Linked DNA regions of Drosophila melanogaster. The protein of the gene in region 2 purifies or fractionates together with the protein of the main gene of each other region. This does not show direct contact. Each region holds a gene or a part of one and is shown on either strand. Other genes may lie near its edges.

The links.
Region 1: the proteins of Charon (region 2) and key purify together in Drosophila melanogaster (affinity purification with mass spectrometry, with the first as the bait; one large-scale study listed by BioGRID). This does not show direct contact.

The regions. Positions count from the first base shown.
Region 1 is NT_033778.4:24,785,548-24,789,471, forward strand, and holds the start of key (kenny), read right to left. Parts: upstream 1,865-3,924; 5' UTR 1,744-1,864; intron 1,584-1,743; 5' UTR 1,495-1,583; coding exon 1,222-1,494; intron 1,158-1,221; coding exon 1,055-1,157; intron 997-1,054; coding exon 692-996; intron 549-691; coding exon 189-548; intron 137-188; coding exon 8-136; 3' UTR 1-7. Other genes in the region: Reg-5 (rhythmically expressed gene 5), read right to left, coding at 2,741-3,303, 3,432-3,621.
Region 2 is NT_033779.5:1,170,966-1,174,889, reverse strand, and holds the start of Charon (charon), read left to right. Parts: upstream 1-2,084; 5' UTR 2,085-2,270; coding exon 2,271-2,867; intron 2,868-2,976; coding exon 2,977-3,176; intron 3,177-3,246; coding exon 3,247-3,860; intron 3,861-3,924. Other genes in the region: CG4887 (uncharacterized protein), read right to left, coding at 320-393, 624-693, 760-1,006, 1,061-1,510, 1,571-1,689.

The DNA.
Region 1 (3,924 bases), on a different chromosome or scaffold from region 2:
ATTGTGCTTAGTTTTTATCCAAACAATCGTTAACGTGACTCTGAAGCACGCTTAAGGCGTTAAAGGACTTTGAACAGATCGGACATCGCAAAGTGGTGTCTGAAGTCCGGGATGAGGCGCCTGTTGGGTCGAGAATCTACCGATACAAAAATTAGTATTGACATTTATGGACTTTGGAATCAGCGTACTCTTACTGGTCTCTGCTCCTCTCGCAAATTGCTTCTGCTTGAACTCAGCGGAGAAGCGGTCGAGCACGCCTTGCTTGCCTTGTGGGACTCGGCCAGAGCTTCGATAAGCTCCTGGTTCCTCCTCTGCAATGATCGCAAGTCCATAAGATACTGATCTTTCTCTCCGGCATTCTTCTCGCGATCTGCCCGCTCCATTTCAAAGTCCCTGCGGTAGATATCGTTTTGGATCTGTAGACCTTTGATCACCTCCTGCTTCTGGATGTCCCTGGCCTTCAGCTCGTTAATATCCAGCTGCATTTTCTTTATCAGCTCCTGGGATTTTGATTCGGTTGCATACTCTGGTACGAACTCAAACGAGTGCTGAAATAACAGAAGAAAAAGGGTGCGAGCCCGGAAGAGAATATTTTAAAGAGATACTGTCCAGTTTACAATGCAGAATAGCAATGATTGCGAGTCTGTATGCAAGTATTTGCCCTATCGCTTGGAGCAACTGGTAGACATACATTTAGCTGTTTCAGTTTGTCAATCTCCACGCGCATGTTGTCGATCAGGGACTGTTTCTCAGATACGCTCTTACGAAGCTCATCCTGCTCCTTTAGCCTGATGGTATGAACCCCTTCAATCTGCTCGATTTTCGTCTCTAGGTCCCTCTTCAGCTCTTGGTTTTCCACGCGAAGGATCGCGATTTGCGCTTGGCACTCTTTCACATGCTCCTTGTACTGGTGTTCTCGGTCGGCGGCTTCCTGGCGCCATTGTTGAGTCAGGTTGTGGTAGTTCAGCATGGTTTGGTTGACCTTGTCAAGTGTGCCTGGCCGGATAATGGCATATTATTGCTGTATATTACTTTACGGGAAAAAAATGCTCACTCTTTAGCGCGAGGTACTCGGTCATCATGTTCTGCAGCTTAACTACTTCCTCTGCGGAGCCCTGCAACGAGCAGAGGCTGGGAAACTGCGAATAAACACTGTTCTGTGGTTGGATTTAGAGACTGTTGTTAGAATTTAAACAGACCAGACGGTAACCAGACGCTCACCTTCAGGACATCGGATTGAATTTCTCCCATAATGAAGCTGGTCGCCAGGGATTGTTGCTGGGAAGATCCGGAATCCAGCGATTTGTGCTGCTGCTGCGATGCAGTGATGCTGACTGGAATACAGTTCACTGTTGGCGGCTGAGTGCTCGTAGAGGCAACGGTTTCCTTCGCCTCCTGCGCGTTACCACATACGTCGGACCGCAAGGAACTGTCCGGCATGAGCGAGGAGCACGGCGAGCTACCCAAGATAACGAATGACTCTTCGTCCGACATGTCTCCGTTGTCGCGGTAGCAATGGCGGGTATTAATAATCAGATTTTACGACTGTGAACGCAGGTGAGGGAATTCCCCTCTTTCGAAAACTAGACGGCAAAGTATTAGCCAAATCGATTAATTTGATATCGGCAATAGTAAGGATAAATGTATAATAAATGAGTTTTAGGGCAATGATTCATTAGGCGTGGGAATTACATCGACGCGTCACAATGGAATAAGCAATTGTCATGTTTATTGCATATATACCTTATATACTACTGCGTTCCTTATCTCGTTTTGCTTTGCTGACAAGCTTTAAGGAAATAAAATTGTTTTCGGAGTAATATTTACTTTTAACTAATTTACCAAACAACTTAGACCAGTGTGACCGCAATCGTTTCAAATGTGCCTTTTTTTGTGTCATTGATTGTCATATTGTCATAATCGGAAATGTTATCGACAATCGGCGAGCTCGTCTATCTAAATTTAAAAGCAGCTAATTTCAATAAAACTGATTACACGCCCAAAACTCGTGCATATGAAGTGCAGTTTGCACTGCAAGGGCGGTGGAAAGTCCCGGCATCATTTATTCAAGCCCAGTGACGTGCATCCCAATTTACCTTCCTTTGTTGCTCAGCTGAGATTAATGGGCGCGTCCTAAAGGCCTGAGCCTGACAAACCAGTTGCCAGCGAAATTACACCGAAATGTAATTGCCAAAACTCGCAAATTCTAATGGACGGCGCAGTGCGTTCTGAACCCGCCAAACCGGATTCAGTACCTCCATTGTTCGGCTCAACTCTGTAGATGTGGGTTAATAAGGCTTTCGCGTGTTAAATATAGGTGTGAGTGGAGCTCGCGACAAGGAACTGGTGGCTGGCCGAGATGCGACTTTCGTATTACCATAACCAACCGGTTCCTGGCTATGTGCACAGACCGCATCCCCATCCTCATTTCCATCCCAATCCACACATTTTAGAATTAATACGTTCGTAACAATGATAATCATCATGCGGTTTATTACTCAAGAATCTCTATGTGATCTTACGACTAATGCACGCGAATAAATAAAATTAAAAAAACTTAAACGAATACGATACGAAATTCCATTAAAGCTCAAGTGCATTCAAGAAAACTCCTCAAACGGCTACAACTAGAAGACTCACACGTTCACTCTCGCACTCTATGATGCAGGATCTCCTCATCTGCTCTATCACATTCACACAAGGACTTAGGTCTAGGCCTGCGGATCCTCTGACCGCGATCTTACGCCTGTTGCTGGCGGAACAGACGCCTCTGCGTCTGGTGGGGTGGCTGGAGGTCGCTCTGCAGGATAGAGGCGAAGTGCTGCTGCTTTAAGGAGCTGATTGTGGCGATCTTGCGGTGCCTGTTGGGCTGAGCGGCGGCCAGACCAAGATGAAAGTAGGGCAGGTCTTCGTCCCGCGGCAGTGGCATCATCTTGTCCTCCTCCACCGGGGAGCCATCGGGTCGCACCCGGATCACCAAAGGTCCGGTGAGGAATCTTTTGGACGGTTCTGAAGTCAGTGCGGCGGCCATTGGGAGCTCACTGCTGGACTGCGGCCCGTAGCCGTAGGCCTTGTCCATGTCCATGGCGTATTTGTGCTTCTGCTCGCCGCTCTCGAAGATTGGATTGGTGGCGGAGCCGGAGCTCTGGATGGGGTGGGCATGGGATGCTCCGTGCGGAAGTTGCTGGCGCGTTAGGATGATCAGAGAGGACGCAGGAGGAGTTGGCAGGGGCTGTTGGAGCGGCTGCCTCGTTGTCACCAGGCTGGCTCCGCTCGGATGGTCCCCCATAATCGATGACCAGACTGCGGAAGAAAAGAGCGATTAGATCGACACCGAGATTTAGAGCTCACGTCGAGCACGTCGCGACTGCGCACTGCGGAAGTTCTGACGCGGAAATCAATCATTCTCCCACGCAGATAGAGGCACTTACTCAGCTCGTTGGCATCGCGCTGATACGGATCTAGTGCCTCCAGCTGTACGTCGGAGAGCGTCTGCAGCTTGGCGGACCCGTAACCGAGCAGGTTGTGCTTGCACTGGTTCACTGGGAGGCCTCCGACGGCGGCTGTTGACTTGCAGTGCACGCTTACCAATTGAGCGAATGTTGAGTAGAGGTGGGACATCTGCAAAGTAACAAAATTGGTGGTTATTTTAATGGCGTCTTGTGTTTAAGAATCAAGTTATAGAAATTAGAAAGCAGATCATCGCTTCTCTGTTCACCAGCCGAATATGGTATTGATTTGTCATAAACGAAAATCGGAGAACATATGTCGGTGATATTAGAAAAAAAAAGAAAAAAGAAAGTTCGAAGCAATCATACTTCGACCAGGTCTCTTGGGTAACGCAGGGCAGAGGTGGAGCTGAAGCCTGGTGCTCTCAATGGGGGGATTTCGCAAGGTGCGTGTGTGTCAGCCGGGAGATGATTG
Region 2 (3,924 bases):
ATAGGAGAAGGAAAGGTTGCGGATTAGTAACCGATCGCTAGGATGCCTTCATTCACACTCTACACAGTCACCGGATTGCATCTGTGTTTCGTAACGCGAAGTTTTAGCCGCTGGCAATCTCCTCGAGTGGCTTTCTTGGGCAATTCTAATGAAGCAATACTATACTCGTGCTTAGTTTCCTTGCAACTACATATAAGTACTTTTAGTTGGACAAAGCAAGCTAAACAGTGAGGAATTCCTTATTATCATTGCCTGCGAACAACCTTGGCTGCTGATGATGATCAAAGTTTCAAGGGGATCTGGTCGATTGCGCTGATACCTGTGTAATATCCATCCATTGCTTTGCCTCCTCAACGGTGTTAAACTCGACAAACGCTATACCGCGTGATGAATCTAAATTTTCGGATAGAAGCAGATACAAAATGTTTTCGTCAAAAAATGTTGAATGTTTCGATAGGTTTGTAACATTTTTGTGGACTATTGTATTCTTTTCGATTCATGTGGCCGGTTAAATTCGATTGGTACTTGTACACTTCGCCTCCATTAGCGCGAAGCCGCTCCAACTTTTTGGACCTACTTACGTCTGACGCTGAAAGAACAAAGTCAGTGATTTCGTAACCCACCTGTTCCCTGCTTCCGGATAATGCGAATGCACGCTGGCTCCATGTTCACCTTTATCAGCTCGCTCATAATCTAAAAAAAAAGTTAGTTCATGAGTAATTAAAGGAGTTGCATTTGCCACTCTTCTGCTTGGCTTACATCTGCTCTGGTCATTTCCTTGGTAAGACCGAAGATTATAATAATATTGAGGGCTTCAGTGGTGGATCGGTATTTGTTCCTGCGCATGTGGCCTTCATCGCTGTCGTAATCTGAGGAGCCCCTTCTCTCACGATCCCGATCTCGATCTCGATCACGTTCACGGTCTTGCTCCCTATCCCGATCTCGATCTCGATCGCGATTATGGTTGCTGCCACCGCCGTTGTACATGCGGTGATCTCGGTGGCGCCTGCACGGTCCGATTTATTATTTAGCCTGAAGTGTATGTATACTTTATACTCACGTGTTTCGCTCGTTGCTTCTGCTTCTGTCGTCGTGATTGTTGTTTCTGTTCCAGGGTCTGCTGTGTTCCCTGCTCCGACTTCTGTTGTGATACCAGTCCCTGTCCGTGGAGCTACGATCACGTGAGTCCAAGTCGCGGGAGCGCTGTTCGTACTCGTAGTCGTTTAGCTCCCGATCGCTCTCGCCATCTCGGTCCCGATGCCGACGGTCGAAGCTATCATGTCGCCGGAACTGACGATTCTCAAAGTTGCTCCTGGAGTTGTAGTTGCGCTCATCCTGATCCCTGTAGTCGTCGTTGATCAGGCTGTGGTAAAGGTCGGGGTCCCCGTTACCAGCTCCTCCTCGACCACCGCGATGCTGATCGTTTCTGAACACGGGCGACCGATCCCGATCCCGACTTCGAGAGCGAGAGTTCCGGTGCCTGATTCCTCCATGGCTGCGGTTGCGCTCACTGAAAAGGGTACACAGTACTAATAAACACGATCGCATTACGCTGGTAGGGTAGAATTACCGGGAACGCGACCTGGATCGACTGTATCGAGACCCCGGCCTGGATCTATAGTAGTCGCTGCCCCGTCCACCCTCGTTTTCACTTCCACCAGAAAAACTGCGCCGACTACTCGAGTCCATTGCCGACTTGCTTTGGCATAGACGCTGGGCAGGCACCAGTGGCAATAGAGCTTCGATGCGGAATCCTTCACGATCTGTTTGGTAACTTAGCCTTAATATTTTTATCCCGGTTCCTTATGGAGGACCACCGTATCTTTTTTCTCAAGAATACTCGATGTGCCATTCGCAGCGAAACGCCGATAATTCTCTAAAGCTAGAGATGGCCCTTTTATATTTATGTATTTTGCAACGAAAGATGGCTATATATTTTTAAGCATTAAAAACTCTAGGTTCTAGACCATAACATAATTATAAAGTTTTTTTTAACGAAAACTACTCTTTTCTTAAAAAACAAACATTACATTAGCTATCAGCAATAACAGTGCTCTTGTCTGACTGCTCACCAACCATCCTTAGGAGCAGTGTTGAGCAGCGTCCGAGTGCCGCTACTTGCCATTCCGTGCAGCGTGTCGTGGGGAAAAACCAATTAGTTTTTTTTTGATCGTCCTAAACTTGGAAGTCCCACGAATTCAATCACTAGCTGACGGCCTTATCGCTGGTAGATATTGCGAGATCGAGCAGTGCATTGTAAAACGGCCACGATGAAGAAGGTTCTATTGACCAAAGCCCAGCACATCCAACCAGTCGTCGCTAGTAGTTCGGATGTTTTGGTGATCAAACCAGTCGGTTCCCTGCGAGTGATATCCATCTCAGCGCCACATAGTGCCTCTACCTACATCCAGCGCAAGTCCTTCCAGCCCGTCTACGAGGACATCTTCAAATTACTCATGAAAATCCCAGACAAAGCCCTTACCCAAAGGGTGATCGACGCGATAAACGAGAGCAATAATAACGATAAGGTCGCTATCTCCAATCACGGTAAACAATGTTCGTGCGGAGTCCAAAAAGTCGATTCATCTACACAAACGGATTGGGACACCGAGGAAACGCATATGCCTGGCATTACAAATAATTCATGCGAAGCCAAAGGGAATAGGCATAGCCACATGACCAGTTCAAGTTCCGAACCTATAAAACCGCCAGTAGATCCGACCAAAGTTCCTAAAAAGCGCGGTAGAAAGCGAAACACCTGCGTGCCACAGGTGGTCAAGCGATCAGCGGCTGAGATGGCGCTTAAGGAGCGCGAGGAGAAGCAACTGACGCCCGTGATCACTAAACGGAAGAAAAGGGATGTCACCGTAAGTACAAGTATTATTATGATGTAGTAGTTCCTCCTGGAAAGTACTAAGTTCATAAATCTCGAATGGAAATATATATACGATTTTATTATAAATATCTTTCTTACAGCAAGCGCAAAACTTCGAATCATATCAGATCACGAATAAAACCCCTGTACGCCGAAACTCTACCTTGTCGGATATATCGTTCAACTCCGATGAGTTGACCCGGGTGGAAAACTTTATAAGCGGAAACACCGAGGACCGCATTATACGCATCATGGCCAACGAATTCAGAAAGTCGCACATAATGTCCGAAGAAGGATTGCTGTAAGTATTCATTTAGCCGAATAAGACCATCATCATCGTAATGATATCATCTTTTCACATGGCACTTCAGACCCATTCACGAGGAAATACTGCACGGCGATGTTTACGGCGTTAAGCGTCAGATATTTGTGTGCTGCCACGCGAAAATGGACATCAACGAACTACTCACCAGGGACGGCGAGGACTGCCTGGAACTTGCGCTGACGAACGACACGGACACCGAGATTGTATCGCTCATCCTGGACGCTCGCATGATGACCGACCACCTCTACGAGAACTCAAACACAGCTCTTCATCTGGCGGTGATAAACCATATAAATATAGAGTCCATTAGGCTGCTGTTGCGCAGAATCGATTTGAACAGTCTTCTGCTAACCAACGATGATGGTTATACAGTTTTGCACCTGGCAGTGCGCAATAACCAGTTCCTTGTTGTCGAGGCAATCCTTGATAGTATAGACGAGCGCGAGCTGGGGGAAACGGTGTACAGGAGAACCCTGGAGGCAGCGAATCCGAATGAGTGGGACGAGAAGGGCTTCGCCAAGTACTACGATCGTGCCTGCGAACGGCTGGAGCTGAACAAGACGTTGCTAAAGAACCGTGCACATAAGCGGGATGTCATCAATGCATCCGAGGCGAGGGGCGGAAACCCACCGCTTTTCTACGCCGTGGAAGGGGAGCAGGGTAGGTTGCTGTCTATTAGTATATTAGTAGTTGAAGAAGTCCGATTAAGCTTTAAAGTTTCCTA